Lepisosteus oculatus: one gene and its partners. The protein of the gene in region 1 interacts with the protein of each later gene in a pairwise test. Links are inferred from orthologs where the notes say so. Each region holds a gene or a part of one and is shown in the gene's direction. Other genes may lie near its edges.

The links.
Region 2: the proteins of fibronectin type III and SPRY domain-containing protein 2 (region 1) and pbx3b interact in a two-hybrid assay, tested with the Homo sapiens proteins (3 studies listed by BioGRID and IntAct). The two-hybrid records come from large-scale screens. The link is inferred for Lepisosteus oculatus from reciprocal best matches to the Homo sapiens genes FSD2 and PBX3.
Region 3: the proteins of fibronectin type III and SPRY domain-containing protein 2 (region 1) and leng1 interact in binary tests that used the Homo sapiens proteins (3 or more experiments, as listed by UniProt). The two-hybrid records come from large-scale screens. The link is inferred for Lepisosteus oculatus from reciprocal best matches to the Homo sapiens genes FSD2 and LENG1.
Region 4: the proteins of fibronectin type III and SPRY domain-containing protein 2 (region 1) and coro1a interact in binary tests that used the Homo sapiens proteins (3 or more experiments, as listed by UniProt). The two-hybrid records come from large-scale screens. The link is inferred for Lepisosteus oculatus from reciprocal best matches to the Homo sapiens genes FSD2 and CORO1A.

What each region holds. Positions count from the first base shown.
Region 1 is NC_090700.1:43,293,028-43,300,920, forward strand, and holds the start of fibronectin type III and SPRY domain-containing protein 2, read left to right. Parts: upstream 1-4,707; 5' UTR 4,708-4,817; intron 4,818-5,657; 5' UTR 5,658-5,751; coding exon 5,752-6,603; intron 6,604-7,893. Other genes in the region: WASP homolog-associated protein with actin, membranes and microtubules, read right to left, coding at 600-773, 3,033-3,611.
Region 2 is NC_090719.1:1,104,465-1,112,336, reverse strand, and holds the start of pbx3b (pre-B-cell leukemia transcription factor 3b), read left to right. Parts: upstream 1-4,611; 5' UTR 4,612-6,357; coding exon 6,358-6,554; intron 6,555-7,628; coding exon 7,629-7,702; intron 7,703-7,872. UniProt on the Homo sapiens protein: Transcriptional activator that binds the sequence 5'-ATCAATCAA-3'.
Region 3 is NC_090718.1:656,806-664,802, forward strand, and holds leng1 (leukocyte receptor cluster member 1), read left to right. Parts: upstream 1-4,763; 5' UTR 4,764-4,851; intron 4,852-4,875; exon of another isoform or gene 4,876-5,893; intron 5,894-6,198; 5' UTR 6,199-6,231; coding exon 6,232-6,456; intron 6,457-6,783; coding exon 6,784-6,951; intron 6,952-7,034; coding exon 7,035-7,312; intron 7,313-7,571; coding exon 7,572-7,776; 3' UTR 7,777-7,969; downstream 7,970-7,997. Other genes in the region: tmc4 (transmembrane channel-like protein 7), read left to right, coding at 1,339-1,522, 1,957-2,087, 2,843-2,998, 3,694-3,772, 4,079-4,174.
Region 4 is NC_090699.1:1,462,084-1,469,838, forward strand, and holds the start of coro1a (coronin-1A), read left to right. Parts: upstream 1-4,604; 5' UTR 4,605-4,731; intron 4,732-7,755. UniProt on the Homo sapiens protein: May be a crucial component of the cytoskeleton of highly motile cells, functioning both in the invagination of large pieces of plasma membrane, as well as in forming protrusions of the plasma membrane involved in cell locomotion.

The sequences.
Region 1 (7,893 bases):
CTTTTCACCAATGTGTTTATGTGGCACAGAAACACGCCATTAACTGGAGGCTGACAGCGATGTCAGTCTCTCTTGTATGCTCGATATGTCTTCTCTGTCAGGATGACCTGGTATTCACTGAAGCACATGATTGCATCAAGAGATTACAGTAGCCTTATTCTCTTTAATTCACATTCTTTCCACATAGAGGACTACTACTGTTTTAATATTTAAAGCACTTGTAATACACATCTTTTTCTGTTGGATTATAAATTAACATACAAATTTAATATCTCAAGGCCTTGAAGATAAGCGTGGACATTTGAACCCATTACTAAATTCAGCTTTTTTGGTCTGAGATCTACAGTACAAATAATGTAAATACCAATCACATAAATACATAATTCAGAAAAGACAGGTTTCTTCTAATCTATCATTCATCCTATTTTACATTGACACCTAGTGGAGCAGCTACAGTTAAGATCAGTTTTTAAGGTAAAAGAGACATTATGTAGCACATACATCAAATAATTAAGCACATAAACCTCCACCGAGGTTTTAAATTCTGCTACACTAATACAATTCTGCTGGTCTTTAACGAGATTTAAGCATGACCGTACCATTATCTCCATTTTACACAACATAGCCAGCTCCCTCATGTCACGGAAGGGCTGGAGCAGGTACTGATACAACTGTGTTGCCACGGTAACTAATTCCTTGTAAGCCTCATCCTCTTCTTCATAAATCTTTAACAGGAGAACCATCTTGTCCGCAGCTTTGTGTTGTTGGAGTATCTGAAAGAAAATATTTATTTTTTTTATAACTGGATTCATTTAACTGCTACTTGTAGATCTTGTGACCAATCTAATCACCATGGGCTTTGGTTGCTTTCTTACAATTACAATACTGGATGCTTGAATATCTGCCAGTCTACATCAGGCTTCACCAACTCTGGCCCTGGGGATCCAGTATCTCAGGACCTGGGTCAATTAATCAAGTGATTTGTTAGATTGAGTACTTCAGAGATCATTTGGAACAAAAATCTGCATACTCTTGAGCTATAAAGGACCACAGTTCCCTTATTTGAACAATTGATATATGCTTAACTAAACAGTAACTTAAGTAACTGAAATAAAGTGTGTTCATTGTTTTGCTAAAAAGGGTGATTATTGTGGCCTATAAGATTAACTGGAATGGGGCTCTCTAGTAAAAAGGTTGGAGACCCCTGGTCTACATAACTAATGTTCATTTATGCCCATGTGAGCATTTATGAAGGGCTATTATTTGTAAAAACAGATAAATAAACAAACATTGCTAAATTAATTAAAGCAATAACAAGGAACCAAAGACGTAACTACAGATTTCTGCAAGAACAGTGCAATTAAGGAATTATGTCCTTCTGCTATGTTGAGTTCCAGCCTTAAACAGTAATTCCTGTTCTTGTTCAAGTTACACAAACAAGTTTAGGTTCCTTATATATCCAACACTGCATCAAGAGAGAAGTCTTATTCAATTATATAATGCTATGCACTCTTTGTGAAACACTGCAAATGTTACTTACAATATTATATTCCTAATACCAACTCTCCAACCCCAGTACATAGAGGTTTTTTAAATTAGTATTTTCTGATTTAAAAGGCTTAGAATAATTTTGCTGTGATCAATTAAGAAGCAATTTTTATAAATGGTCATTTAGAGATCACATGGGCCCATGATCTTCGTACACATCAGCCCCACAAAGTTCTATATTCTTTTAATTGGACAGATCATTTATCTGATCAAACTTTCTGGTCTTTCCAAGTAAAACTAACTGGACTGAGGCTCTTCAGAACAAAGGCTGGTGATCCTTGCCTTCTATCATACAGATCCCAGAATTCAACTTTTCAAGAAAGAGCAAATCCAATCTCCCCTGCTTGACTAGTGTAAGAAAAAGGGAGCAGGTGGGAACATGGCACATGCAGAGTGAATAACTGTAGGCTTACAGGCTACATTACCACCTGGAATGGCACAAGACTGCCCTGAAACCAATTTCAGGCCCATGGTTCTTCTCTGCCCTTGATACACAGGTATGTACACCACTTTCACAGTCTTATCAGCACCACATTTCCAAAAGTAAGTAAGCACCCTGCAATCTTGCATGGGTCAAATAATGAGCTTAAATGAAGCAGCACCAGGAACAGGTGAGGTAGTGAGAGTGGTCACTAGGATATATTGACTTCCTGAGACCAAAGCTTCAGTATCTAATCTTCAAATGATTATTGATAAGATAAGATCACTTTATTTCCATAAACAATTTCTTACATTAGGAATTTGCCTTTTCGCATACCCCAGCTTGCTCTCCATGAGACAAACAGGCAGGGAGAGAAGCTTGGGGTCAGAGCGCAGGGTCAGCCATTTATACAGCACCCCTAGAGCAGCACTGAAAATGAAAAAGCCAGAGGGTCTTTCCTAATCTGAGAGACTGACTACATCAACTTTATTCCAGACATGAAAAGCAGTGCCATATAGGAAAACATTTGGAGGATGATTGTCTTCATTTGCAATAGAAAATGTCAAAGACCTACTGCAGCAGGAATGTGATTCACTCTAAAGGATTGTGCAAAGGGAAAGTTTGCTTCTTGAATCACTTCAGGCACAACACGTTTTCCCTTTCAGTTTCTATATGAACCAGCGCACCAGCTTCTGTCACTGCAATGCTAACTTCGTCAAAAGATCCAAACTGTACTGTATATCACAAGACAAGCACAAACACTTAAAGGCTTTCAAAAACTGTAGCCTGGTTTTGTGTTGGGAGGTTCTGAAAGACAGGAGGGAAACCTGTACCGCTCCACAGCCAACTGACTGTTGACTGTCATCTTCTTCACTCTGTCACTTTTTGTACCCAGACCTCACTAGATATTAGTTTGTTTAGTTCTATTATCAATTTGAAATGTCATATTCCAGCAGCAGTAGACAAAACGCTAAAAGAGATGTTGCCTTGGGACGGACAGCTCGGGGGACGGAAGACAGAAGTGGGACACACAGCAGGCTGACAAAGCATCGACGAGACTCACCTTTCTAAGCTGCTCTCGCGCCCTGACCACCTGGTCCTCCATGCTCTTCTTTTTAAACTCGTGGAGGTTTTCGAAGTACTCCTCAACGTCCCGGCAGTCCTGCGCGAACAGGCAGTCCAGCACGATCGTGCGGCCGCAGATGTCGACGGCGGTGCTGAAGTATCTCTCCAGCTGGCGGCAGGGCCAGTCCAGGTCCATGTCGGGCTCCTCCAAGCCAGACGGCCTGCCCAGGAACAGAAGGTCCCATAGATTCCCCACCTCAAAGGCCGACAAGTCGGGGAAAAAGGCCCCCAGCACGTCGCTGACCCCCGTCAGCTGCCGATGGACATTTCTAAGATCGCTGACCGAAAAGAGGCCGGCCCAGCTGGTCTGCGTGTCCGCCGGAGCCTGCTCTTCCCTGCGCCTCTGCCTCTGCAGGGTCCGGTTGTGACAGGTGACGGCGAACTTGCACTCGATTACATTCCACTGGACGATGAAGCCCAGCTTAAAAGTCTCGTTTTCTTCAAAGACGTTGCTCTTGATGGCTACCCAGCCGTCCAGGCTGTCCAAACGTTCGTAGTCCATGATCTTCCAGCTCATCGAGACGCTGCATTTGGCCCAGAGAAGTCTTTTTCCGGAGACCTAGCGCTGTTGTTTACGCGTTCCGCCATTTGTACTACGTCATTGCCCAGTTGTCATCTTTGAACACCTGACTCACCCGTCACGTGCTCAGAAATGGCGCATGGATGAAAGCTTGCTCTTCATCTGAGAGGGCTTCATTTAAAGTTGAGCTTTATGCGTTTTCGAAGTAGCATTGCATATACTCACCAGAAATGCCTTTAGTCTAAATATAAGTATTTTTATTTTTATATCTTCCCTTATCTTTGTGATGCCATATACCGTAGTTTTCAAAGCAGTGGTTATAATATCTTTTTTTAAATCATTCTTAATAAAACCTCACCATTCTAAACAAAAAAAGTTAACAATTAATTATGAAATATTAAAACCATAACTGCATGTCAGTGTATTCCTGGTAACCGCTGTCGGAACAGATACAACGAGACTCAATTTTATACACTGCAAGAGCTGGGTTGAAAAATTGCTTTTTACAGTATATCTTTGCAACCGCACGTTTTCCCCACGTTACAACATCTATACAGTTAGTCTATACGGTAAGCGTCTATTCGTTAAACTATAGCTGAAAAAACATGTAGCGTGTTTTAATGAAGTGATTTGAGAGAAAAAAAAATGTTTGGTTTGGAATCTAAATAATTTCATACATTTTACATATGCACTTGAATAACGTGATTTATGTTAATGATTCACTCTGTAAATAAGGATTCCTAACCACTGCACACCCATGTCCCCGTATGGACAAGGCGAATGCCTTTAAATAATTGTAAATATAAGTCTCAATGAAAATGCATTAGAATGTCTGACTTCTGTTTTAACATGAATGAGCTCTAGAATCAGAGTTCACATCAACCACACTCGTTAGATCGAAGTATTTTAGAGCAAACGTTAAGCTTTACTGCCCAGTCGCAGATTCAGAGGAAACGTTCAGACTGCTTCCACGGGTGGCCGGCGGATCTGTAAAGAGGTGACCCGATCCCCAGTGACATGTGAGAAGCTGGCTCTTACACAGGGATAGGGTGGGCTGTGACACCGAGCAGTGCCCTTCTATTTTTGTATCGGGGGCTATTTACTGCTGAAATCCCGACTGAATTTACTGCACAGCCACGTCCATGAGCGCCTGCTGAAACTCTTGCGGCAAATCTGGGGAAACCGTGAAAAATACTTGAACAGGTAAAATGACCTTGCATCCCTGGGAACTATTCTTCCTACATTTTTATATCTTAAAATTAACATGCGTTGCTTGCACAAGTTGAGATCAATTTAAATGTTATTTCGAGAATACAGAAGCAATGCGGTTTTCACATTGAAAGGGTATGCAATATTCTATGATTTGTTATTTGTGAACAATTTACATAAGCCATAGTGCATCATTCTTTGACTGCTACAAATACTGCTATCAGCATACACGAAGCTACTGCGCAGTATTCGTTTTGGTGCCTGTTGCTTTAACGTGCCTGCACAAGGTCCCTGAAATCACAGACTCGGTATCTGATGTTCAGCTAAACTGACTGAGAAAAGTCCTTCAGTTGATCAATACGAAAAATTACACTAAACTGTCGGATGACATGGGTTTTCTCTGGCAATCCGGTGATTCATCTGCGGTTAAAATCTCGTATGACTCTCATACTCCTGTTCCCATTGGTACACATCTATCATGTTCGTGCATTGCCTCCCTCATCAATCAAAGACTAAAATTTCATCAGTGTTTCACTACAAAGGCAAAGAAACTGTTTTAGAAATTAGCAACAGCCTTTCCTACAGTATGTGCTGACATTCATGTGATCATCAGTTTCACCTTGAGTATTTCCACTGTCTTATCTGTTTTCAAAAGTCATTTGGAATATACGGTATGATAATATTAAAAAGAGTTTTATTTGACACTGACCGCCATAAGGCATTTCATGTGAGTTCCTGAATGTTAATGTGTAAGTTAGTTGTCTGTATTCCTCGTTCCTCATTCTTCAGGGAAGACAAATATCACACATCTATTTATTCTTATTTTCCATTTAGGATACTCTTCAGGATTTTGAGTACTACGGCTCTTAACCTATCATCTTCCGAGCAAAGCCAAAGACACAATAGCTGGTCCTCTTCATCTGGAGCAATGGACGAGGCCACTAAGCAGTACATTTTCAGTGGGGGAGAGGGGACTCTGAGCAAGGCCTGTGTGGATACCCCAGTGCTAAAGGATACCCCAAGTGACGAACCTGAAGGCATAAGTTTTTATAACATGGACCTCTACGAGTCCAGAGAAAGGCTGGACATCTTTGTAGAGGAAGTGCCTGTGAGCACGATGGCTGACAGCCAGTCTGTGCAGGAGCCCCTGGAGAGCCCACAGAGAACAGAAGAAGAAGAGTATGACCTGTACACTGCAGAGGTGACCGAGATGGCCAGGCAGTACGGGGTGTGGGACGACAAGGAGGAGGGGGACATGGGACTCCCTACCCAAGAGCCTTACGTCTTCATCACAGAAAATCCACCGGCACCCACCAAGAGAGAGGTGGCAGAGTCCGGCAGCACTGATTTCAAAAGGCCGGATTCGCAAGAGGAAATGGGACGTTTTCGGACAGCTGACCAGCGTTTCTCAGTGGAGACAAACGACTCGTTGTGCTTCGACACCTGCGTTCCTGCGTCGGACGAAGCCAAGAGCCCACCACTCACATGGGCCGGTGCACAGCAGCAGTGGAAAGAGGAGGAGGCCGAGGAGGAAGGGACGCATCGCGGCGGTCCCGAGCAGTCAGCGGGAGCCAGACTGAGGGAGTGGAAGTGCTCTGAGGAGAGCCGAGAAGACAGGGCCTTGGAGGAGGAGCAGGTGTCGGCTGAGAGCAGTGAGAATGAGCCTCCTGATGTCTTCTGTACTGACTGCCAGACCCCCATCCGAGCTTTCTACAAGCTGTTCGGACCACACAAGGACCACCGAGTCATTCAGATAGCGAACGCTGCCGAGGAGGTGAAGGTGAGGGGCTCTTTCACAAAGGCCAGAGCTTCAGCTGGATCCCCAGGACACAGTATGAAGTCTCCAGGGGCTATCTGTTGCACACGTGAAGCACTGAAATGATTGAGACCCTGAAGACTGAAATGGGTGGAATATATTATAACAAAATTATTAATGTTGACTTTGAAGATTAAACAGTGCAATGGATGTCACTTTAAATTTAAATTTGGGAAAACTATACAAGTTTTTCCAGAAAAAAGTTACACATCCATATGTACTGAGTATCAAAACAGCATTTTCATTTATAAATGCAGCAAATGCACTAGATTCTTAATAAACAAACAACATTTTTTGTAGCAGATGGTTTGACATTTTGCTGTATGGACATGATATACAGTATGTGCTGTAGATTCAATAATCTTTGTCACCATCAGGGGTGATCAACAGTTTGTCTACTGCAAAAGTTACAGGGTAGTAGACTGGTACCATAATTGGAAGCAATGTGCATTTGTGATGAAAGCTTTGCACTAGGTTAAAGATTTCTGTCCCATTCCCCACATGGAGCCTGGACAAGCACAGGCTTGTCCATTGGTTTATGAGCGCTAAAACGCCACATTTCATCCCAACTCATCCCACAAATGGTCAAAGGGGCTCACGTCTGGCTTCTACGATGTAACTGTAACATTCTCTAATCACAAAAGGGCACTGTTACAGGGGCAGCATGAGGGGCAGGTGCTGTCCTGCTGGAATGTTGTCACTTCAGGGTGAACTCGCCGGAATGGAAGTGAGTGAGTCTCAGGTCTCAAGTCAATCAATGTGGCGCCGTGCAGCCAGATTAGCAGCAATCACTGCGAGAGAAGTTCTGCAGCAACTAGGCACACCAACCCAGAACATCACACCTGGGCCTCCTCTTTCCTTGGTCTGAGCACTGAACAGTTAGAGGATCATACTGCATGTCTGAGCCAGACTACCTGACGTCAGTCAGGGTGGCCAACATGAAATCTTGACTGATCTCTATAGAGGACTTTATTGGCAAGTACAACTGAAGTGGCTTCAACCAGCCTCCAGCCTATTGATGGCAAGACAGTGTGGTTCTCTTGACAAGCAAGTTGCGTTAATTCCTGTATTTCTTTGTCTTGATTTTCACTAGGTGTGGCATTCGATAGGTTGATCCAAAATCTATATATTTGGGTTTTCTAAAAATATACATGCATATACAGATGATCATTTTTTTTTACTGTATGAATATTTCTGTATGTGGAAACTTGTACACTTTAGTTAATGTAATATGTAGACTCAAACTGCACCGTG
Region 2 (7,872 bases), on another chromosome or scaffold:
AGTGATGATGGATTGCTTAAATTGCTCTCTCCTGATAAAGATTCTGAAATGTGCACAAAGGAGGAAGCAATTTAATTTAAAAAATGTACAACGCTTTATACCAGTTAATGCACTTTGGAGCATTTTATGTATTGACATCCTATGTTTTGTTCAGCAAACACTAAGCGCCAAGTGTCTTCTGGCAACAGAGATCAACTTCACATGACTAAGTTCTGCACTGTGTACGCTTTGAGCTTCATAGCACAGGGCATTCATGATGCCTTAACAATTTGTTCACCCTGAGGATTATGAGCATCTAAAAATAAACGATCTTGTGCAAGGATTAGAAGCTAATAAGGTAAAATATTTGGGGAAGAAGACACATGATGAGTTGCCCAGGGTACCAGTGTACCTTAGTGATTAGCTTACACCCCCTCACACCGATCAGAACCGTGCACTGCTGAGGGTTTAACCATAACTGTGGAAAAAAGGAGAGGCCACTGCCGAAATCAAATTCTTCTGAGTTGCTGGTTTAAGGCCGTTTTTCTGGATGAACAGCTTGGGGACGGATTTAAAATGACATGCTTTTTACAAACACCAGGAAAAATCAAAGGCTCTTCTATCAGCAAATCTTTTTTTTTTCCTTCTAAAGTCCTCACTCTTCTGTCATTAGGGAACAGGGCTCAATTAAAGAGCCCAACCGGGAAATTTAATTTAGGCAGAATAAAGCCTAATAGAAATACTGCACAACCGTGGACATAACCAATTTATCTATACAGTAAGAACTCCATATTAAGTGTCATGAAATTGCATTAAAAGGAATTGATCGCACTGCTTTGTTTCTTTGTCAGTGCCTGTACTGTACAGTGGCTTCCTTTGATCTGAAATTTCTTCCTCGTTATACATATATTTTTAAATGTATTTTCATGTGTTGCTTTTTATTTTTCACTGTGAAATGCAGCATTCTTAAATCACCAGTGAAACTAGTGCAGCGTCTTTTTTTTTAATTCCTCTGGTAATCTCGGTTGCCAGCCTCATTAAAAGTATAAGGCGCTGAATGCAATATTAAGTGGCTTTGCTTTTCCCCAGTGCTGCTCGCCCCCATACCTTAGCTCTGAAATTTTAAATTGTTTTACTCCGCTTGCTTTGAAACATGTTACTAAATTAGTAACACCGTCAATCAATTAAGAAACAAACAACACACAATTGTCCTGAGCTGGAAGTGTGTGTGTGTGGTGGAGGGGGTGATAAAATATAAACTTGCTTTGATGCAGCAATAAAATCTGGCCCCTGCATTGTCCCTGTCCGTGAGATGTGACAAATACACAGAAAGGCAAATGCATTATTCTTTCTCAGGCCACAGTTACACTGTAAACACACAAAATGACTAATATATGGTCGAAACATCATGCCACAGCATTTAATCAATGACTTAAACAGTTGAATCAATATAAATTCCTAATATTTTAAGCATACTGGCCTCTATAAATCTTGTGATGTGGTTGATTGCAAAGTGTTTCAGGGGCCTATCCATGCATTGTATATAAAGACTCATGTAAATCAAACGCCACTACGACAGAACAAGGAGTTTTTTGACCTCTAGAAAAAAAAATGGCAGAAAAGACAGGAATCCTTTCCTTCAGCAGGATCTCCTCAGTGGCGTCCGGAATTGGAGTATTTAAGCAAAATACTGGAGCCGCGCAGCTCCTGCAGAGTTCGGAGATGCCCCCCCTTGTCTGCTGTGGCCGGAGAGAAAAGTCTCTCGTCTCTGAAATGCAAACGACAAGCATTACTGTTGCTGTCCTCGACGTCAGGAGAGTTCACCCCTTTCACCTTCCGTGTTTCAGCAAACCTGGGAATTCAGAGATTAAAACATGAAAATGTGGACCCCTCTCCAAAATCCTGACCAAATGAAAACATCATTCACCTCACCGCGTTTCGCAGCTTTGAAACACTTGCACGTCGTCTGGTGGGAGTGTTGCGTTTTCTTACGAGGAAGAGGGGGAAAAAATGTGGCGTTCCTCTATCCCCAACAACAGGATTTTCCCAAAGGAAGTTTTACTCCATGCATATCTGATTATTTGCTATTTAATTATCAAATGTTAATTCCCCTTGTAACAATGTGTCAGGATAGGCAGCCTGCAGGGCTTTGGAATCAATTCATGCACCGCGGTCTGTGAATCGGCGCAGCGTTTGCTAATTCTCAGTGTACCGTCTTGTGTTCGCGCATTTGCAGAACTATGTCTGATTGACTTTCAAAGTGCATTCCAATTAACAGCTTTATTTCCTCCTCTCTCTCTAATTTTAGATAATTACTCCCACCATCATCATCAAAAAAAAAAAGAGCCCTGCTTTCTTCCGCCGGCACGGGGACAGACTGTGGCAGGGCTGCTCGGCTTCCCGGCCGCTCCATCGCCGTGCTGTAATACCGCCAGCTCCTTAATTGTCATATTGATCCTGCTCATTCCCAATTAAATAATTAAGGGCCATTCTGTAGTGGAGCAGATAGGTCGGGCTGTGACCTGGGCCGAGCGGCCGCGGGTTTCAAGCCCGCACTGTGTCTTACTCTGCACTCTGCAGTAAGTTAGGATTTCTGCGGGGGATCTGAACGCGTCTGACTGTTCAAGCATGTATAGTGATGATAGAGCACTGGAATTAGGCTCTGCGCTTCGGAACCGGGAATTGCATTGGTGAATACAAGCTGGGCAGACTTATAATAATCATAGGTTTCCTGGACTATATGGGACAAATTATTCAACGCACTCTCCAAGAAAGAAATTGAGCGTCAAGTGAAACAAACACAAAAATGACAATTGTCTCTCCCACTCTCGTGGCAACGGTTTTCAAAATCAATAGCTCAGAATGTTTTGTTTTTACCGGTAATCTCGATGGAAAACGTGTGTAAAATCGGTGGAAGACACGTGTGGCCTTGCTGTGTCTGCGCTGCGGACGGCGGCTAATACATACTGTCCTGGCTTGTGGCCGTCGCCTATAAGCACACAAAGATCCCTGCGGGTCCTCTGGATTTTGAAAAGTCGGTCTGGTTCCCTTAGGCAGCTAGCTAGCTCTTCGGCGGCTGTGGGTTTGAAAGGTGACCGATGCGGTTTCACGTCTACAACTTGAACGAGGCGCCCACCCGCGAGCCGTGTTTATTGACGCCTCTGGCGAGCGGCGCGCTCCCTCCGCTCCCGAGGTCAAGTTCAAACCGCGGCTCGCGGTCCGGGTCCTCCCCGCGCGCGGCGGGCAGCCGGTACTGGTCCACAGCCCCGTGCAGGCAGACACGCGGAACGCCCCAGCTCGAGGCGGCAGTCAGCTGCACCCCGGAGCAGAAACGTCCGGCTTATTGCACAGTCGATAAATGGGCTATATTATATAACTGTCAGAAATAACATATATCCCATTTTGCAAAATTATCCAGTTATCCGAATGCGCTATTTTTGGGGCGTACTTGTATGTTTTTTATTTTAATTTTCCAAATCAAGCATTTATTTTATTCGTAAAATTTGATTTTAGACACTTACAGGACTTATTTGTAATGCAATTGTTCCCTAACGGTATTTCAAAAGTAAGAATAAATAAAAACTAGCAATGTGCAAAATATTAACGTTTATTCCAGTAAGCGGAACATCGTGTAACCCCACCGCCTGCCAACTTTGCAAAAATAACACACGCGTGTGTTTGTACTTTCGTGTGTTTCTGGCAGCTCTGCACAAAACTATAAAACGCTGGATGACCAACAAGCGCTAAATTAACTTCAGAACTTCACTTCTGTACCTCTTGTCGGCTGTAGTGAGTCACACGTAAAACACAGTTAAAAAAAAAAACCTAAATGTGAACAAATATTTAACGTACAGCCTAAAATTGTACAGAAACAGGGAGCTGGTGCACTAGCCTGGTTGGACTGTTAAAATATATTTTAGGAAGAACGTGTTGTGATAACAACAAAAAATCCGATTGAATTTCTAAGACGGTTTGTTGAAATCAGGGAACAGGAATCCTTCAAATATAATCTTTCCTGAATTCTCAACATTAGTTTTTGCTTATTTGCATTAATGATAATAATTCATTAGTATTTTTTCTATTTAAGGTCTGATTGCAGGAATAAACGATGGGATATTCGGTGATAACAATAACCCTTAAAAGTTACAAAGAATAACTCGTTTTCAGTTTAACAGTGCAAGTGGACTAATGCATAAATACATCACACACATTTACCACGTACTTTCTCTCCGTCGGGCGACAGTGAATTCTTCTTGAAAATACCTCGGCGAGTTTGTCTGGGGGCGTTAGAAGAAAAGTGTGTAGCTTTCAGAGAATAAAATCTATTTGAAAAAGGAAAAGAATAAAAAAAAAATGCCATTTCAGTGTCTACTCTGAGTGTCCGGAGGGATGACTTTACCGAGCGGTCAGGTCAGGGTTTGGAGAACATGTCACCTTTACTGAGGAAAAACCCCACGAGCAGAGCCCCGCGCGAGCACGCCTGCTCGTGGTGCTACCATGCGCACATCCTCGCATCCCCGCTCCTTTCTGCTCGTCTGCTGCCATAGCAACTGTAGCAAGGGACAGGGCAGCGCCGCCTGCGCGTGCGGTTGATGTCACCCGTGGCAACGGCCAATCAGAAGTTGCCGGCTGCCTTGCACGGCCATGCTGGAGGTGGCGGACCCTGGGGGCGGGCTGGAGCCTGCCAGAGCTCCCCGCCTATTGGCCGGCGCCGCTGTCAGTCAGGCCCCGACCGAGGCGGGGATTGGACGGCGGCTCTTCGCGATACGAGAACATGGCCCCCCGCCCGCCCACCTTCCGAGCAGCACTGGGCGAGGGGAGGCAGAGCCGCGGTCTTGAAAAGCGGAGAGCCCGAGCAATTCATTATCACTTCTGTATCAAACCATATAAAACTCGGGGCTTGAAGTGTGTGGACTTTTTTTTCCTCCTCCTCCTCCTGCCTTGGCTGTGTTTGTTTTAGTGCACAGCGCGCCCGTCCAGCGCTGGTGAGAGCTGTCAGCCGACGGGGCATTTTTTTTTGCATATATAGCGCCTTCCAGTGCAGCCAGGAGAACAAAAACCAAAAAAAAAAAGAGAGAGGGAGAGGGAGAGGGGGGTGTGGAGGAGGACGCGTCCTTTATTTAACGCGTTCCCTGCGTGTCGTGATTATTATTACCATCATCATCACTGTGGCCATTAGCGTGGCTCGAGCGGTGTGTTTCGCCGGGGTCTCTGCGCGCGGCGGCGCCACGGACTCAGACCCCTCCTCTCGTGGGCGGGCCGCGCGCTCTCATTGGGATGCTGCCTCTCTGCGCGCGGTCTGACACGTCTGCACTGAGTGAGTGACATTGGCACCTTGTCAATCGCTCACTAGTGCGGCCATCAAACACCATAAAGCACACAGAGTCAGGGATCCGGGCTCATAAATTTCAACAGCCAGATCTTTTTGCGCATTGCTTTACAGCGTGTAATTAATTTATTATTTTTTTTCTGGCGATTCTCTCTTTTTTTTTTTGGGGCCTCTGTTATTTTTCGCCCCCCTCAAAGAAGCTCCAAAACTTTTTTTTTGTGTTTTTATTTTTTAATTGTTGTCATCATCACCATCATTCTTACTGTCGCCGCCGCTGGTCCTGGGCATTTAAAATATCTATATTTTTTTTTCTCAAATTTGATTTTACTTATGTGTTGGGTATTTTTACCCTTTGTTACATAGCAAGACGCACGCTGTAGACAGGTAGAGCATGTTTTGCTGTGCTTTTTAATTTTTATTTCATTTTTTTCTTTTTTTTTTTGTGCGTGCAACTTTAGCTTTGGAAAGGTCTTTTTGGGGGGGTTCCCTGCTGGTTTAATGGGGATTCTGGCAAGTTTGCAAGAAGATTTGCACGGGGAGAACAAGCCGAAAGAAGACTCTACAAACACATGAAAACAATGTGCAGGGAGCTATAGCACGAGACGCCAAATCGCACGCAAAACCCGGCGAGAAGGTCTGAAGACGGTCAAGACACGCGAGCTGTCATCCGATTGCCGAAGTATCAATAACTGAAGTACAGAATTGATATCGGTGCCTCAATGCAACTACCAGCATAAAATTGATCCTGCAATTCTAAAGCTACTTCGGATCGAGGGAGAAAAAAACCCCACAAACGCGAAAAAAGTGATTTCTGGACACGCGATTGCTGCCGGTACAATTACTGCTATACAAATAGAGATTCTTAGTTTTGCTTCTTTTAATTTTTTGATCCGTTTCCCCTCCTCTCAGCCTCTCTTTCTTTCCCGCGCGCCCACCGAATTCCTCCTTGTATGTGATTTTGTCCCGCAAATCCCCCCTTTTTTATTTTCCTTGCTGGCTCCGAGCGTTGTCTCTCCCGGAGAAACGCATTGATTGTGCTGCGGCAGAGCATGGACGAGCAGTCCCGGATAATGCAGACTCTCGGCGGTGTCAGTCTGGCTGGCCACTCGGTGCAGGGAGGGATGTCCCTGCCTCCCCCGCACGGACACGAAGGGACGGACGGGGACGGCAGGAAACAAGACATCGGGGACATTCTGCACCAAATAATGACCATTACTGACCAAAGTCTGGACGAGGCGCAAGCAAAGTTGGTTCCTTTTCTAAAATTACCTCAGATTTGTTGCATGTATGGTTGCTAACCTATTATGAACCTTTAGAGCCAGTCTAGTGGTTATGCTGTCGCTACTAAAATTAGAATCGCATGGATCACAATGGTCATATTTATTGGCTGTGTGGTATATATATATTTTTAAATATAGCGGGACAAGGGGGCAAATGTAGATAAGTTATATTGTAGTGCTTGTGCCATTTCTCTTTAACTCTCGGGAGGCAAAGTATCTTTCTTGCTTCTCGGATGTACACCCGGCTGTCATCGTAGTAAAAAAATAATAATCGGGATTTTCTCTTTATCTCTTTATTTTTAAATTCACGGAGAAGTCCTTATTTATGGGGCGGGGAGTAGTGTCTTTAAAATCTTGAAAAGCAGAGGAATTGTAGAAATATTGTTGCAAAGTGCCCTGGTGCTGATGTTTATGTACATGTGTGTGCACAGTGTAAAAACAAGCAAGCGTGCAAGATACATTTGTAGCCCAGCATTTTACAGACTGTTACCTGTTAAAGACCCGGAGACGCCTGGTCCGAAAGTATAGAAATCATTCTAAAAACAGGCTGAATAATTTCTATTTACTGAAAAAAAAAAATACAACGTTTCAAACTGCTAAATAAGAACTTGTTCAAGCTCAAGTTCAATTGCTCAGCGTGTGGTTTTGTGTAACCTGTGTTTTACCCCCGATTGTCACCTCTTTCCCACTGAGCTACAGCCTCACTGTAAAACAACAACGCTGTAATAAACTAGGATCTGAGGATCTGATCAATTATTTTAGGTTCTTTGGAAATTACTGTTTGCAGCAGAATTTAACGCTCATGTCGAGAATCTGAATTTTGTGGCCCGTCACCTGCCGAAAAGAGTTCATTTGATCAGGGATAGGCAATATTATTATTATTACAAATAAATAAATGGAATATTCATTTAATGCTCGCTAGACGGGATGATTAAAGCGGGCGGGTAGGAAATGAGGAGATGTGCACAGTATTGTGTTTTTAAAGTTGTTTTGCAGTGTTGTATATCATGTTTTCTTTTTCTTGCCGTATACTGTAATAGGAAACACGGATTGAACTGCCACAGGATGAAACCTGCGCTCTTCAGCGTCCTCTGCGAAATTAAAGAGAAAACAGGTAAGGAAGGCACATTTTTGTTTTCATGTTCAGAAATCGATGAGGAGAAGTAACGAGCGAGGACGCGCAGGGCAGCACTCTCCTGGCTCAATTGAAAACGCGTCTTTGCCGCCATCTTGCTTTTTCCCCCCTGTCCCCTCTCTCCCCACGCCTTCCTCCTGTATCACAAA
Region 3 (7,997 bases), on another chromosome or scaffold:
ATTAATTCATCTCTGTGTGTGAGGAGTGTCTCTGGGGCTTTATTACTCTCTGTGTGTGAGGAGTGTCTCTGGGGTCTGTATTAATCTCTGTGTGTGAGGAGTGTCTCTAGGGTATTAATTCATCTCTCTGTGTGAGGAGTGTCTCTGGGGTCTGTATTAATCTCTGTGTGTGAGAAGTGACTCTGAGGTCTGTATTAGGGTCTGTATTAAAATCTCTGTGTGATGAGTGTCTCTGGGGTCTGTATGAGGGTCTGTATTAATATCTGTGTGTGAGGAGTGTCTCTGGGGTCTGTATTAATCTCTGTGTGTGAGGAGTGTCTCTGGGGTCTGTATTAATCTCTGTGTGAGGAATGTCTCTGGGGTCTGTATGAGGGTCTGTATTAATATCTGTGTGTGAGGTGTGTCTCTGGGCTCTGTATTAATCTGTGTGTGAGGAGTGACTCTGAGATCTGTATTAGGGTCTGTATTTATCCCTGTGTGTGAGGAGTGTCTCTGGGGTCTGTATCAATCTCTCTGTTTAAGGAGTGCTTCTGGGGTCTGTATTAATCTCTTTGTGTGAGAAGTGTCTCTGGGGTTTGTATTAATCTCTGTGTGTGAGGAGTTTCTCTGGGGTCTGTATAAGGGTCTGAATTAATCTCTGTGTGTGAGGAGTGTCTCTGGGGTCTGTATTAGGGTCTGTATTAATCTATGTGTGTAAGGAGTGTCTCTGGGGTATTAATTCATCTCTGTGTGTGAGGAGTGTCTCTGGGGCTTTATTAATCTCTGTGTGTGAGGAGTGTCTCTGGGGTCTGTATTAATCTCGGTGTGTGAGGAGTGTCTCTGGGGTATTAATTCATCACTGTGTGAGGAGTGTATCTGGGGTCTGTATTAATTTCTGTGTGTGAGAAGTGACTCTGAGGTCTGTATTAGGGTCTGTATTAAAATCTCTGTGTGAGAAGTGACTCTGAGGTCTGTATGAGGGTCTGTATTAAAATCTCTGTGTGAGAAGTGACTCTGAGGTCTGTATGAGGGTCTGTATTAATCTCTGTGTGTGAGGAGTGTCTCTGGGGTCTGTATTAATCTCTGTGTGTGATGAGTGTCTCTGGGGTCTGTATTAATCTCTGTGTGTGAGGAGTGTCTCTGGGGTCTGTATTAGGGTCTGTATTAATCTCTGTGTGTGAGGAGTGTCTCTGGGGTCTGTATTAGGGTCTGTATTAATCTCTGTGTGTGAGGAGTGTCTCTTGGGTCTGTATTAATCTCTGTGTGTGAGGAGTGTCTCTGGGGTCTGTATTAGTGTCTGTATTAATCACTGTGTGTGAAGAGTGTCTCTATGGTGTCGCAATCTCTCTGCCTCTTCAGGATGATTGTGGATCACTGCTCTTGCAAGCTTGCTCAGTGGCTGGGACGTCAGGAGTTTGTGGTGCCCCAGAATGTCCTCAGCCTGGTGTACGGGCAGACAGTGGTGTGGGCGGGTGCTCTCTTCTGCCCCCTGCTGCCACTCATCAACACTGTCAAATTCGTCATTTTCTTCTACTGCAAGAAGGTAGAGCTGTTCATCATCTCTTCTTCACTGGGACTGAGCTGTGTAACAGCTCTTATTGTAACAGACTGTTCTACTGTACTGGGACTGTAGCTCCTATTGTAACAGACTGTTCTACTCCACTGGGACTGTAGCTCCTATTGTAACAGACTGTTCTACTGTACTTGAACTGTAGCTCCTACTGTAACAGACTGTTCTACTGGGTCTGTACTGAGACACGGAGATACGTGCTGTACCAGGTCTGTACTGAGACACAGAGACAGTACTGTACTATAGTGTTCAGTCAGTCAGTGTCTCTGTGCTGTAGTGTCCAGTCAGTCAGTCAGTGTCTCTGTGCTGTAGTGTCCAGTCAGTGTCACTGTGCTGTAGTGTCCAGTCGGTCAGTCAGGGTCACTGTGCTGTAGTGTCCAGTCAGTCAGTCTCTGTCTCTCTGTCAGGTCACTCTGTTCCAGAACTGTCGTCCAGCCTCTCGGACTTTCCGCTCCTCCAGCTCCAACCTCTTCTTCCTGCTGGTGCTGCTGCTGGGACTGGTGCTGGCCTGCGTGCCCCTGGTGTTTGGCCTGGCCGCGTGAGTGACCCCCGTCCAAGGGCTGAAACTACAACACCCAGGTCCCTTCAGGGCCAAACACCCAGCCAGCAAAACACAGCACACTCTGCAGAGCACTATGGGGGCTGTAGTCCCCGGGCTCCAGTCTCCAGCCTCTATCTGGCTCCATCCCCCATAACCCTCTGGGCACCTGACCAGTGGCTGAGCCTCCCACTGCAGGGCCTCATGGGAACTGTAGTTCCTGGACTGGACTGCGCCTCGTGTTCCAGGGTCATCCCACACTATGAATAACTTAACTTCCCATAGTGCTTCGTGACAGTCTGGGTACATCGTGCTGAGAGACCCAGGAGGACAGCAGAGCTTTGTAACGCACCACCAGCAAAACAGAAACATGAGTAATAATAATGAAACAGTCAGTCAGTGTCTCTGTGCTGTGGTGCCCAGTCAGTCAGTCAGGGTCACTGTGCTGTAGTGTCCAGTCAGTCAGGGTCACTGTGCTGTAGTGTCCAGTCAGTCAGTCAGGGTCACTGTGCTGTAGTGTCCAGTCAGTCAGTCAGTGTCTCTGTGCTGTAGTGTCCAGTCAGTCAGTCAGGGTCACTGTGCTGTAGTGTCCAGTCAGTCAGTGTCACTGTGCTGTAGTGTCCAGTCAGTCAGTCAGTGTCTCTGTGCTGTAGTGTCCAGTCAGTCAGGGTCTCTGTGCTGTAGTGTCCAGTCAGTCAGTCAGTGTCTCTGTGCTGTAGTGTCCAGTCGGTCAGTTGTCTCTTCCCCTCTGGCAGGATCCACCCCTCCTGGGCCTGTGGTCCTTTCCGCTCTCTCCCTCAGATGTGGGCGGTGGTCTCTGTGTCGAACGCCTCTCTTCCTCCGTCTGCACAAGATTTCCTGCGGTTCCTGGGCTCTCAGGCGTTCGCTGTGCCTCTCTTCGTCGTTCTCTGGTGAGACGCCTGTTCACGTGTCCATCTGAGACTGTCTGTCCTGTCTCTCTCTCTCTCAGTGTGCTGTGGATCAGTGCTGTGTAACCTGTCTCTATCTGTCTCTCTCTCTCTGTGTGCTATGTGACCTGTCTCTCTCTCTCTCAGTGTGCTGTGTGACCTGTCTCTCTCTCAGTGTGCTGTGAATCAGTGCTGTGTGACCTGTCTCCCTCTCTCAGTGTGCTGTGTGACCTGTCTCTCTCTCAGTGTGCTGTGAATCAGTGCTGTGTGACCTGTCTCCCTCTCTCAGTGTGCTGTGTGACCTGTCTCTCTCTCTCAGTGTGCTGTGTGACCTGTCTCTCTCTCTCAGTGTGCTGTGTGACCTGTCTCTCTCTCTCAGTGTTGTGCTGTGTGACCTGTCTCTCTCTCTCAGTGTGCTGTGTGACCTGTCTCTCTCTTTCAGTGTGCTGTGTGACCTGTCTCTCTCTCTCTCTCTCAGTGTGGCGCTGTGTGACCTGTCTCTCTCTCTCAGTGTGGCGCTGTGTGACCTGTCTCACTCTCTCTCAGTGTGGCGCTGTGTGACCTGTCTCTCTCTCTCTCTCAGTGTGCTGTGTGACCTGTGTCTCTCTCTCTCTCTCTCTATCTCTCTCTCTCAGTGTGGCGCTGGGTGACCTGTCTCTCTCTCAGTGTGCTGTTTGACCTGTCTCTCTCTCTCTCAGTGTGGCGCTGTGCTATGTGGCGGCTCTGGCCTCAGTCTACGGACAGAGTGTCTCTCTGCTCCGCGCTCAGATGCAGCTGGTAAGTGTGAACCAGTCCGGAGGAGGGGCGTGTCAGGGGCTGCTGCTGACCTCTGACCTCCGACCCAGCTTGCCGACGCTGCTGTATCCCCGACTCCAGGAGTGAGCAAGCAGAGCAGCAGCGCTCGGTACACAAACACCCCAGTACCCCCAAACCCCCATGCGCATGCCCTGAGCTGCGCTCTGACCTCTGACCCTGTGGGTGTCGATGCTGCGCAGCCCAGCGAGACCCCCGCCGCACCCCAGTGTTACCCCACTGCTGGGGGTGTTTGGGGGTCCCGGCTGCTGAGGGGTCCTGTCTCACCAGGAGGGGAAGGACAAGCAGTTCCTGGTCAGACAGATCGCCGAGCTGGGCGGCCCCGGAGCAGTGCACGCTGGGCCGTCTGAAGGCGCCGCAGAGTGACCAGTGACCGGAGTGACCAGTGACCGGAGTGACCAGTGAGCAGAGTGACCAGCCCAGGCTGGATCTCCGGGCTTTGACAGCGTGTTTAACGACGGTGGATGGCGTGTGTTTCTAAAAGATTCTTCAGGAGATTAAAACGGTTTAGAGCTGTAACCTGGGTTTTGTTTGGCGTGTGGCTATAATTAAATGAATAATAATAATTATTATTATAATTATTATTATTTTTATGGTGAGCTCCCCAGGGATAACATGACAGAGCGGTAAGGATTCATAATAATAATAAAAAATCTCATCTCGCCGTTCGCGGTTTGGGCTCTGGATTCAGCGCAAATCGGGTTTGGGGCTCAATGTGTGCAACGTTACCGACTTTTACTGGGTTTTATTTTTCCAGCTGGAGGCGGTCGAAACCGAGAGAGGCGGAGCCCCCGGGTCGGCGCGGCTCCGAGCAGCGCAGCCTTTCACTGGCGCAGAGCTGAGCAGCTAAAACAAGACATGTTCCAGTCGAGGCCAAGTCGAGCGCTGCGTTTGTATCATTTACTAGATGTTGGAAATGCAAGCTTTTTTTGTATCTGTTTAGAAAAATACAAAATACGTATACACTGTATGCATTAAAAAAACGTACAGAATACAGAAGTTCTGGCGGAGCGTTTTGAGCGCAGTTTGGCTTTCAAGTGCAGGTAGGAAAGAGTTTCTGATCGGGAAAATAAAAGCGGAAATCCGTAAATATGCTTTTAAAACATCACTCCTGAATAAAATAATTAACATCTCCGGGGCGTTTAAAATCCCCGCGATCGGTTTGATTTCGATTTTGAATCGCAGTGCCTTACTCCCGAAATATTCTCCGATCTGCACGAATCGCCGGTTTCCTGTAAAACCGTGGTTTTCCGATGCACAGCGGCGCCTAATCCATCACCTGAGCTGAGCGAAAACCACACAGCCGCTTCTACGCGGATCTGTAGCTGCAAGCGCACAAAGCGATATGTAGCTGCGCTGTTGAGTGTGTTTTGCCTTGTTTTATTGAGAGAAACTTTGAAAGTGAGATATACGCACCTTGCAGCGGTGTCGGCGGCGGCTCCAATTGCAAAGCGGAACCCGACGGGGGGCGGGGTCAAGGGGGGGCGGGGTGTTGCCGCCGGACAGGCCTGGCCAATCGGGAGGCGAGCGCGGTTGTCGTAGACCAATCGGGAAAGGCGGAAGGTGGGGCTAAGGGGAGAGGCGCGGAACTGAGCGCTGCGTGACGGAGAAGACAACCAATCACAGGACAGAACCGGGGAGGGGAGGCGGTGCTCTTGACATAATGTCATCCAATCGAAGCCCCGCGGCACAAAAAACACGGAAATGCCGCCTAGAGGAAACCCACGTTCTTTAAACGCTTTGCGTCTTTCCCGACTAGAAGACCCTTGGCACTGCCGAGGTTTGTTCGGTAGGAGTGTATCCCATGTTTTAAATATGTGATTAGATCACTTTAAGACGTTGGTTAGGGTAAAAAGAAAGATTTCGTGTGCACCAAGGAAATAGGCGGACCCGCGCTACAGACCGACGGCGTCTCCACTGGCGACGAGTGATTGACGTCAACCTGAACCAATCGGAAGGAAGAGAAGCGAAGGCGGGACGAAGAGGTGTGGACCAATTGCAGCGCCTGATACGACAGGAAGTGCCTGTGGTTTCGGCGGACACTGCGTCACCGCTCCTGTGTTTACAACATGGAGGATTCCCTCGGTGAGCGGCTGATATGAATTTGTATCAAGTGTTTTGAGCTCATTCCGTGAGACTTACGAGCGGCCGGGACTCGCGGACTCGTGAGGGAGCAGGGAAGTGTGTGAGAAAACCTTTTATTGCGCTCAGATTGCGTTGGGGCTGTGAGAGCTGTGGTCTGACGTTGCGGCGATCCAGCCGTTCGCTGGGGCTCCGTGAAAGGTTCCTAGCCACTCTCCTGCTATTAAATCACCGGTTTGTTTCTGTTTCGAGTTCAGTGTTGTCTGCAGAAATGTTTTTGTATTGCGATTTCCCCATGCTGTTGGCAGGTGGGTAAACCCTCGTGTTCGTGTTCTCCGTGAATGAGCTGGAAGGGGCTCGTGTGCACCCGAGTGCTGCGGCGGACGCTGCCGCAGCTGGTTCTGCTTGTGAAGGAGATTAAAAGTCGCGGAATCATGAATATTCTGCCCAAGAAGAGCTGGCACGTGCGCAACAAGGACAACGTGGCCCGCGTGCGGCGGGACGAGGCGCGCGCCGCCGAGGAGGAGCAGGAGCTGCGCCGCAGGGTCGAGCGCGCGGAGCAGGAGGTAACCATGACAACAGCCGCCCCTCGCTGTAGGGGCCGGCCCGTCCCAGCATGCAGCGGGAGCCAGGCGGGGTATCATCATGGGGCAGGCACACGCATGCGCACACTCTCTCGTACTGACACACACACTCACCCCAGCTCGCACTGGGGACAGTCTTCCTAGAAACCAGTTTAACCCGGGTGTCTTTGTCTTGGGGGTGAGACCCACACAGACAGTGGGGACACATACAACCCAGTGCAGCGTCTCGTGGTCCGAACTGTCCTGTCCCCCAGTATAGTCGGGGGGCCTGCTGGTGGCGCCCCCTGCTGACAGCTCTGTGTCTCTCAGGCCCGGACGGAGCTCCTGAGGAGGAAGTCTCGAGCTGCGCTGCCCCAGGGCGAGGAGGGGCACGAAGGACAGGCGCCGCTGGTGGGGCACCTCGACCTCTTCCCCCCGGAGGAGGGGGCGGAGAAGCGAGGGAACGAGGAGTACCTGCGGGAGAAGAGGGAGGAGAAGGTGTGTCCGGCGCCGCGGCTCCGTCGGCCCGGTCCGAGCGCCCCGCCTCTGTCCCGGCCGCCAACCTGTCCGTCTTCCCGCAGGAGCGCCAGGAGCGCGCCATTGGCCTGCTGGTGTCGCTGGGCCCCGCCCCCGGCAGCGAGGCCACGCCCTGGTACCTGGAGAGGCGGGTGGGGGCGGAGCCGGGGGAGGAGCTGGGGGCGGGCCGGGGGGAGGGGGAGCGAGAGAAGAAGGACCGGAGGCTGAAGGCGGCGCTGGACCCCCTGAGAGACGTGGACCGAGCCCTGCAGACGAAGAGCAGGCGGGTGGAGAGGAAGAGGAGCAGGAAGAGGGAGCGAGAGCAGGAGGAGGGCGGGCAGAGGTAAGGGCTTATGCGTCAGGTTAGAATCGGCAGCTCCCACCGGAGTGAGAGTCAGGTGGACACAGTGAGGTGTACAACCTCTCCTTGCCATCACACAGCAGACCCGATTCCCAGTCCAGCCCAGCCCAGCGCCACGTTCTGAGACTCCGAACGAGGCAACAGGACTATTTTTTCTGTAACGCCAATGGATGTGTTTTGTTGCAGTAATGTGATAACTGGTCTGAGAAATGTCCAGTGTGCTGACCGCTGTGTCCCTCAGCTCTCTGGACAGGCTGCGGGAGGAGCGCGTGCGGAGGGAGGCGGAGGAGAGGCGCCGGGCTCGGGCCCTGCTGGCGAGCCGGGCCGAGGGGGAGCGGTCAGCGGCGCAGGAGCCGGACGAGAGGGACAGACCCTACAACAGCCAGTACTGTCCCCAGCTGGCTCGGCGGCCGCGGCGCAGGGACGGGGATCTGGGCCCCCTGTGAGGAGGGAGTCCAGTAACGCCCCCCTGCAGCCACAGAGCAGGGCTCCTGGGTGAAGACGAGAGGAGAACGGGGCACAGACCCCTGCAGCCACAGTTTCTTCCAGCTCTTCTTGGATTGGCCTCAGCCACCCACCACTCTTTGTGTAAAGACATTTCTTATCCTGCGCCCTGAATAAATTCCCTTTCAGGTTCCAGCTGTGAGTCTGTCGTTGTCACTCCTGG
Region 4 (7,755 bases), on another chromosome or scaffold:
GATTTTATTTTACTTCTATTTTTTGTTTTGTTCCATGTTAATTTTATTATTTTTATTTGCTTTGGCAACACTGATTGTACCCATCGGTCATGCTAATAAAGCACCTTGAATTGAATTGAAAAATTGAGTGTGTGTCTCTCGCCCCTCACCCCTGAGAGAGTGTCTCCCCCTCACCCCTGAGAGAGTGTGTGTCTCTCGCCCCTCACTCCTGAGAGAGTGTCTCCCCCTCACCCCTGAGAGAGTGTGTCTCTCATTTCTCACCCCTGAGAGTGTCTCTCGCCCCTCACCCCTGAGAGAGTGTCTCCCCCTCACCCCTGAGAGAGTGTGTGTCTCTCGCCCCTCACTCCTGAGATTGAGGACATGGCGAAAACAAATGGTATTGTACCAAGTTTCCGGAGCTCCTAAATTAATTGGAAATCTCCGCACACCAAGGGTCTTTCCTGGGTAAATCTGATGAACAGTTCTATACATCTCCCTCACCTAGCTCGAGCCAGGATCTGCGCGGGCGGGCGCAGGCTGTGAGGGAACAAGTCCAGGTGTGTTCCTGCTGAGAAGAGAAGAAACACAGCTGGTTATACAGCATTCATCCCTATTTTATTCCAGTGGAATTGGATCCGAAACGAGTTGTCCAAACTAGTTTAACTGACAAGATATTGCTGTATTCGTTATGAACTATTATAAACCTACTGTATGGCTGAATGTGGCCTTTCCTTTCTGCCTGATCCAGGCTGTCAGTCCTCCATGGTTTCTGATGGACCACTGTCACAGTTTCTGGAAGGAGGCAGCGCCCTTCTTCGGATCTGCAGCACGGGCGTCAACTTTCAATCTAGTATTGATGAACTGTAGCAGGACATTATTATCTGTTCACAGTCGGTGTGATTAGACATTGCCCCATCAGCACCAGGTCAGTGTTTTACCCAGATGACACCACCTTCAGCCCCGTTTTCAGAGCACAAGTCCCCTCTTTCTGATGCTCCGGTGGTATACCGACGGGAGGGGTCGCCTACGGAAGCACATTGCCCCACATCGGAATTATGTCAGTGAAAATACCCCCTACTTCTTGAGAAACGAGCAGATATACACCACCAGCTTAGATTATTTTATGAATAATTCTGTAATCATTTTATTTTGGAATGTGTGTTAAATGTTCAAAAGTCTATTTAAGCCCCGTTCTGCCTGTGTTTCACAAATATTTTAATCCTCCAAATATTTTCCGAAAGACTTGACAGTACATCCAAGACAAGAGAGGCATAGAGTAACCTAGAGAGACCGCCAGCTGTAGATAGGATTATAGGAGCTCCTATAGACAGGAACAGGTGTGGGGCTCCTATAGACAGGAACAGGTGTGGGGCTCCTATAGACAGGAACAGGTGTGGGGCTCCTATAGACAGGAACAGGTGTGGAGCTCCTATAGACAGGGAGGGGTATGGTGCTCCTATAGACAGGGAGGGGTATGGTGCTCCTATAGACAGGAACAGGTGTGGAGCTCCTATAGACAGGAACAGGTGTGGGGCTCCTATAGACAGGAACAGGTATGGTGCTCCTATAGACAGGAACAGCTGTGGAGCTCCTATAGACAGGAGCAGGTGTGGGGCTCCTATAGACAGGAACAGGTGTGGGGCTCCTATAGACAGGAACAGGTGTGGGGCTCCTATAGACAGGGAGGGGTATGGTGCTCCTATAGACAGGAACAGGTATGGTGCTCCTATAGACAGGAACAGGTGTGGGGCTCCTATAGACAGGAACAGGTGTGGAGCTCCTGTAGACAGGGAGGGGTATGGCGCTCCTATAGACAGGAACAGGTGTGGAGCTCCTATAGACAGGAACAGGTGTGGGGCTCCTATAGACAGGGAGGGGTTTGGAGCTCCTATAGACAGGAACAGGTGTGGAGCTCCTATAGACAGGAACAGGTGTGGGGCTCCTGTAGACAGGGAGGGGTATGGTGCTCCTATAAACAGGGAGGGGTATGGCGCTCCTATAGACAGGAACAGGTGTGGAGCTCCTATAGACAGGAACAGGTGTGGGGCTCCTATAGACAGGAACAGATGTGGAGCTCCTATAGACAGGAACAGGTGTGGAGCTCCTATAGACAGGAACAGGTGTGGTGCTCCTATAGACAGGAACAGGTGTGGAGCTCCTATAGACAGGGAGGGGTATGGTGCTCCTATAGACAGGAACAGGTGTGGAGCTCCTATAGACTGGAACAGGTGTGGAGCTCCTGTAGACAGGGAGGGGTATGGTGCTCCTATAGACAGGGAGGGGTATGGTGCTCCTATAGACAGGAACAGCTGTGGAGCTCCTATAGACAGGAACAGGTGTGGGGCTCCTATAGACAGGAACAGGTGTGGGGCTCCTATAGACAGGAACAGGTATGGTGCTCCTATAGACAGGAACAGGTGTGGAGCTCCTATAGACAGGAACAGGTGTGGTGCTCCTATAGACAGGGAGGGGTATGGCGCTCCTGTAGACAGGGAAGGGTATGGCGCTCCTATAGACAGGAACAGGTGTGGTGCTCCTATAGACAGGGAGGGGTATGGCGCTCCTATAGACAGGAACAGGTGTGGTGCTCCTATAGACAGGAACAGGTATGGCGCTCCTATAGACAGGAACAGGTGTGGGGCTCCTGTAGACAGGGAGGGGTTTGGAGCTCCTATAGACAGGGAGGGGTATGGCGCTCCTATAGACAGGAACAGCTGTGGTGCTCCTATAGACAGGAACAGGTGTGGGGCTCCTATAGACAGGAACAGGTATGGTGCTCCTATAGACAGGGAGGGGTATGGTGCTCCTATAGACAGGAACAGGTGTGGGCTCCTGTAGACAGGGAGGGGTATGGTGCTCCTATAGACAGGAACAGGTGTGGAGCTCCTATAGACAGGAACAGGTGTGGGCTCCTGTAGACAGGGAGGGGTATGGTGCTCCTATAGACAGGAACAGGTGTGGAGCTCCTATAGACAGGAACAGGTGTGGTGCTCCTATAGACAGGAACAGGTGTGGGGCTCCTATAGACAGGGAGGGGTATGGTGCTCCTATAGACAGGAACAGGTATGGTGCTCCTATAGACAGGGAGGGGTATGGTGCTCCTATAGACAGGAACAGGTGTGGAGCTCCTATAGACAGGAACAGGTGTGGTGCTCCTATAGACAGGAACAGGTGTGGGGCTCCTATAGACAAGAACAGGTGTGGAGCTCCTATAGACAGGAACAGGTGTGGTGCTCCTATAGACAGGGAGGGGTATGGTGCTCCTATAGACAGGAACAGGTGTGGGGCTCCTATAGACAGGAACAGGTGTGGAGCTCCTATAGACAGGAACAGGTGTGGGGCTCCTATAGACAGGGAGGGGTATGGTGCTCCTATAGACAGGGAGGGGTTTGGAGCTCCTATAGACAGGAACAGGTGTGGTGCTCCTATAGACAGGAACAGGTGTGGCGCTCCTATAGACAGGAACAGGTGTGGGGCTCCTATAGACAGGGAGGGGTATGGTGCTCCTATAGACAGGAACAGGTGTGGGGCTCCTATAGACAGGGAGGGGTATGGTGCTCCTATAGACAGGGAGGGGTTTGGTGCTCCTATAGACAGGAACAGGTGTGGAGCTCCTATAGACAGGAACAGGTGTGGGGCTCCTATAGACAGGGAGGGGTATGGTGCTCCTATAGACAGGAACAGGTGTGGCGCTCCTATAGACAGGAACAGGTGTGGGGCTCCTATAGACAGGAACAGGTGTGGTGCTCCTATAGACAGGAACAGGTGTGGAGCTCCTGTAGACAGGAACAGGTGTGGGGCTCCTATAGACAGGAACAGGTGTGGGGCTCCTATAGACAGGGAGGGGTATGGTGCTCCTATAGACAGGGAGGGGTTTGGAGCTCCTATAGACAGGAACAGGTGTGGTGCTCCTATAGACAGGAACAGGTGTGGCGCTCCTATTGACAGGAACAGGTGTGGGGCTCCTATAGACAGGGAGGGGTATGGTGCTCCTATAGACAGGAACAGGTGTGGAGCTCCTATAGACAGGAACAGGTGTGGAGCTCCTATAGACAGGAACAGGTGTGGGGCTCCTATAGACAGGGAGGGGTGTGGTGCTCCTATAGACAGGGAGGGGTTTGGAGCTCCTGTAGACTGATTCAGGCTCCATATCTTCTGATATAAAACACAACCACCCTGACTCTCGGGCTCTGTGTTGTACAGGGATGGGCGAGTTGATCCCAGACGTGCTCAGTGGGGTGTGTGTGTGTGTGACTGGTCAGGCCCTGACTCTCTCAGGCTCTGTGTTGTACAGGGATGGGTGAGTTGATCCCAGACGTGCTCAGTGGGTGTGTGTGTGTGTGACTGGTCAGGCCCTGACTCTCTCAGGCTCTGTGTTGTACAGGGATGGGTGAGTTGATCCCAGACGTGCTCAGTGGGGTGTGTGTGTGTGTGACTGGTCAGGCCCTGACTCTCTCAGGCTCTGTGTTGTACAGGGATGGGCGAGTTGATCCCAGACGTGCTCAGTGGAGTTGGTGTGTTTAACAAGTCTCACTAGCTTTTTGACTGTCTGTCTGTCTCTCTCTCTCCTCTCTCCCTCCTCTCTCTCCTCTCTCTCTCCTCCCTCTCTCTCACTTCCTCTCTGTCAGTTAAGGCTGCGGTGAGTCTCAGCTCTTCCTCACTCCACTCTCTCGCGCTGAGACGCCGGTCCGCCGCCTGACAGACCCGACTCGACCCGACCCGACCCGGCCTGCTCGTCCTCTCGCTGACCTGGTAAGGACTGTCCAGCGCCTCTGCGTCCGGCGGGGGGGGGAGGGAGGTGGACAGGCTGGCAGAGAGAGGAGGCCAGCGGAGGTTTCTGTGTGAACTCCTCCAGCGTTGTACAAAGGCTGATTGTTGTTGCTAATTGCTGCTAATTGGGTAGCAGAGGCAGCGAGTGTGTGGAGAGAGGGAGAGAGCTCGTGTGGTGTGTGTTTCAGGGACAGGCTCTGTATCACAGCAGACTGGAGTCCCTTCTGCTTCAACTGGGCCTGTTAGAAACACCCACTGTCATCACAGTCCACTGCGCTAACACTGTGTTACAACAGACCAGTTCTGTTATACCAGGAGCTGCAGTAAGAGTACAGTACAGCAGTGTTAGTACATCTCTACTACTGTCTCTCTTACAGCACTGATCTCTATTACTGTCCTACACAGAGACACAGCTCTTTTACAGCACTGATCTCTATTACTGTCCCACACAGAGACACAGCTCTCCTACAGCACTGATCTCTATTACTGTCCCACACAGAGACACAGCTCTTTTACAGCACTGATCTCTATTACTGTCCCACACAGAGACACAGCTCTTTTACAGCACTGATCTCTGTTATTGTCACACAGAGACACAACTCTCTTACAGCACTGATCTCTATTACTGTCCCAAAGAGACACAGCTCTTTTACAGCACTGATCTCTATTACTGTCCCACACAGAGACACAGCTCTTTTACAGCACTGATCTCTATTACTGTCAGACAGAGACACAGCTCTTTTACAGCACTGATCTCTATTACTGTCCCACACAGAGACACAGCTCTTTTACAGCACTGATCTCTATTACTGTCAGACAGAGACACAGCTCTTTTACAGCACTGATCTCTATTACTGTCCCACACAGAGATACAGTTCTTTTACAGCACTGATCTCTATTACTGTCCCACACAGAGACACAGCTCTCTTACAGCACTGATCTCTATTACTGTCCCACAGAGACACAGCTCTCTTACAGCACTGATCTCTATTACTGTCACACAGAGACACAGTTCTTTTACAGCACTGATCTCTATTACTGTCCCACACAGAGACACAGCTCTCTTACAGCACTGATCTCTATTACTGTCCCACACAGAGACACTGCTCTCTTACAGCCCTGATCTCTATTACTGTCCCACACAGAGACACAGCTCTCTTACAGCACTGATCTCAATTACTGTCACACAGAGACACAGCTCTCTTACAGCACTGATCTCTATTACTGTCCCACACAGAGACACAGCTCTTTTACAGCACTGATCTCTATTACTGTCACACAGAGACACAGCTCTTTTACAGCACTGATCTCTATTACTGTCGCACAGAGACACAGCTCTTTTACAGCACTGATCTCTATTACTGTCCCACACAGAGACACAGCTCTCTTACAGCACTGATCTCTATTACTGTCCCACACAGAGACACAGCTCTCTTACAGCACTGATCTCTATTACTGTCCCACAGAGACACAGCTCTTTTGTGCACTGATGTGACCCAGAGAGATGAGACAGAAGTGGCAGAGATGAGAGAGTGCATTCTGCAGAAGAGGGAGAGAGCAGTTAGACCACATCCTCTCTCTATCACACCAACTCCTCACTGTCTCTGTCACACAGACTACTGATCTCTCTGTTTAATGCACAGCTTTCTCCCAGGATCACTGCTGTCTCTCAGGGTCACACTGGATCCATTTCCCAGGGTCAGAGTGGAGCACTGCTCTCTCTCGGTTTCAGAATGGACCACTGCTCTCTCCCAGCGTCAGACTAGATCACTGTTCTCTCTCGGGGTCACACTGGATCACTGCGCTTTCCCAGAGTCAGAGTGGATCAGTGTCCTCTCTCAGGGTCAGACTAGATCACTGCTGTCTCTCAGGGTCACACTGGATCACTGCTCTCTCCCAGGGTCAGAGTGGATCACTGTCCTCTCCCAGGGTCAGACTATACCACTGCTGTCTCTCAGGGTCAAACTGGATCACTGCTCTCTCCCAGGGTTAGAGTGGATCACTGTCCTCTCCCAGGGTCAGACTAGATAACAGTCAGGTCCAGTCCTGTAGTCACAGGAGGACAGCTGGGCCAGTGGCTCAGGTCTGGTCCTGTTGGACCAGGAGGACCGCTGGTCCAGTCCTGTGGAGTGTGATGAGTGTTCAGTGCTGGCTCAGGTGTCTGTGTCTCTCAGGGTGATGTCAGTGCAGAAATGGGGAACCTGCACACAGCTCCGAGCGGGGGGGCAGGGGGCGGGGCAGGGGCAGAGGGCAGGAGCCAGTTTGTGCCCTTATAAGTCGCTGATGTGAGTCTGTGGTTTCTGTTTTGCTGTTTTTAAAAGCAGGTCGAGTTTCAAAACTCTCTGTTTCCACTTCCTTCCTCTGATGCCTGTGTGTGCAAGAGAGCAGCACGTCGAGACTAGAGAGCAGGGTAGAAACACAGTACAGCGCAGTAAAGCCCAGTGAGAGCAGGGTAGAAACACAGCACAGCGCAGTAAAGCCCAGTGAGATCGGGGTAGAAACACAGCACAGCGCAGTAAAGCCCAGTGAGATCGGGGTAGAAACACAGTACAGCGCAGTAAAGCCCAGTGAGATCGGGTTGAAACACAGTACGGCGCAGTAAAGCCCAGTGAGATCGGGGTAGAAACACAGTACAGCGCAGTAAAGCCCAGTGAGAGCAGGGTAGAAACACAGTACAGCGCAGTAAAGCCCAGTGAGAGCAGGGTAGAAACACAGTACAGCGCAGTAAAGCCCAGTGAGATCGGGTTGAAACACAGTACAGCGCAGTAAAGCCCAGTGAGAGCAGGGTAGAAACACAGTACAGCGCAGTAAAGCCCAGTGAGATCGGGGTAGAAACACAGTACAGCGCAGTAAAGCCCAGTGAGATCGGGGTAGAAACACAGTACAGCGCAGTAAAGCCCAGTGAGAGCAGGGTAGAAACACAGTACAGCGCAGTAAAGCCCAGTGAGATCGGGTTGAAACACAGTACAGCGCAGTAAAGCCCAGTGAGATCAGGGTAGAAACACA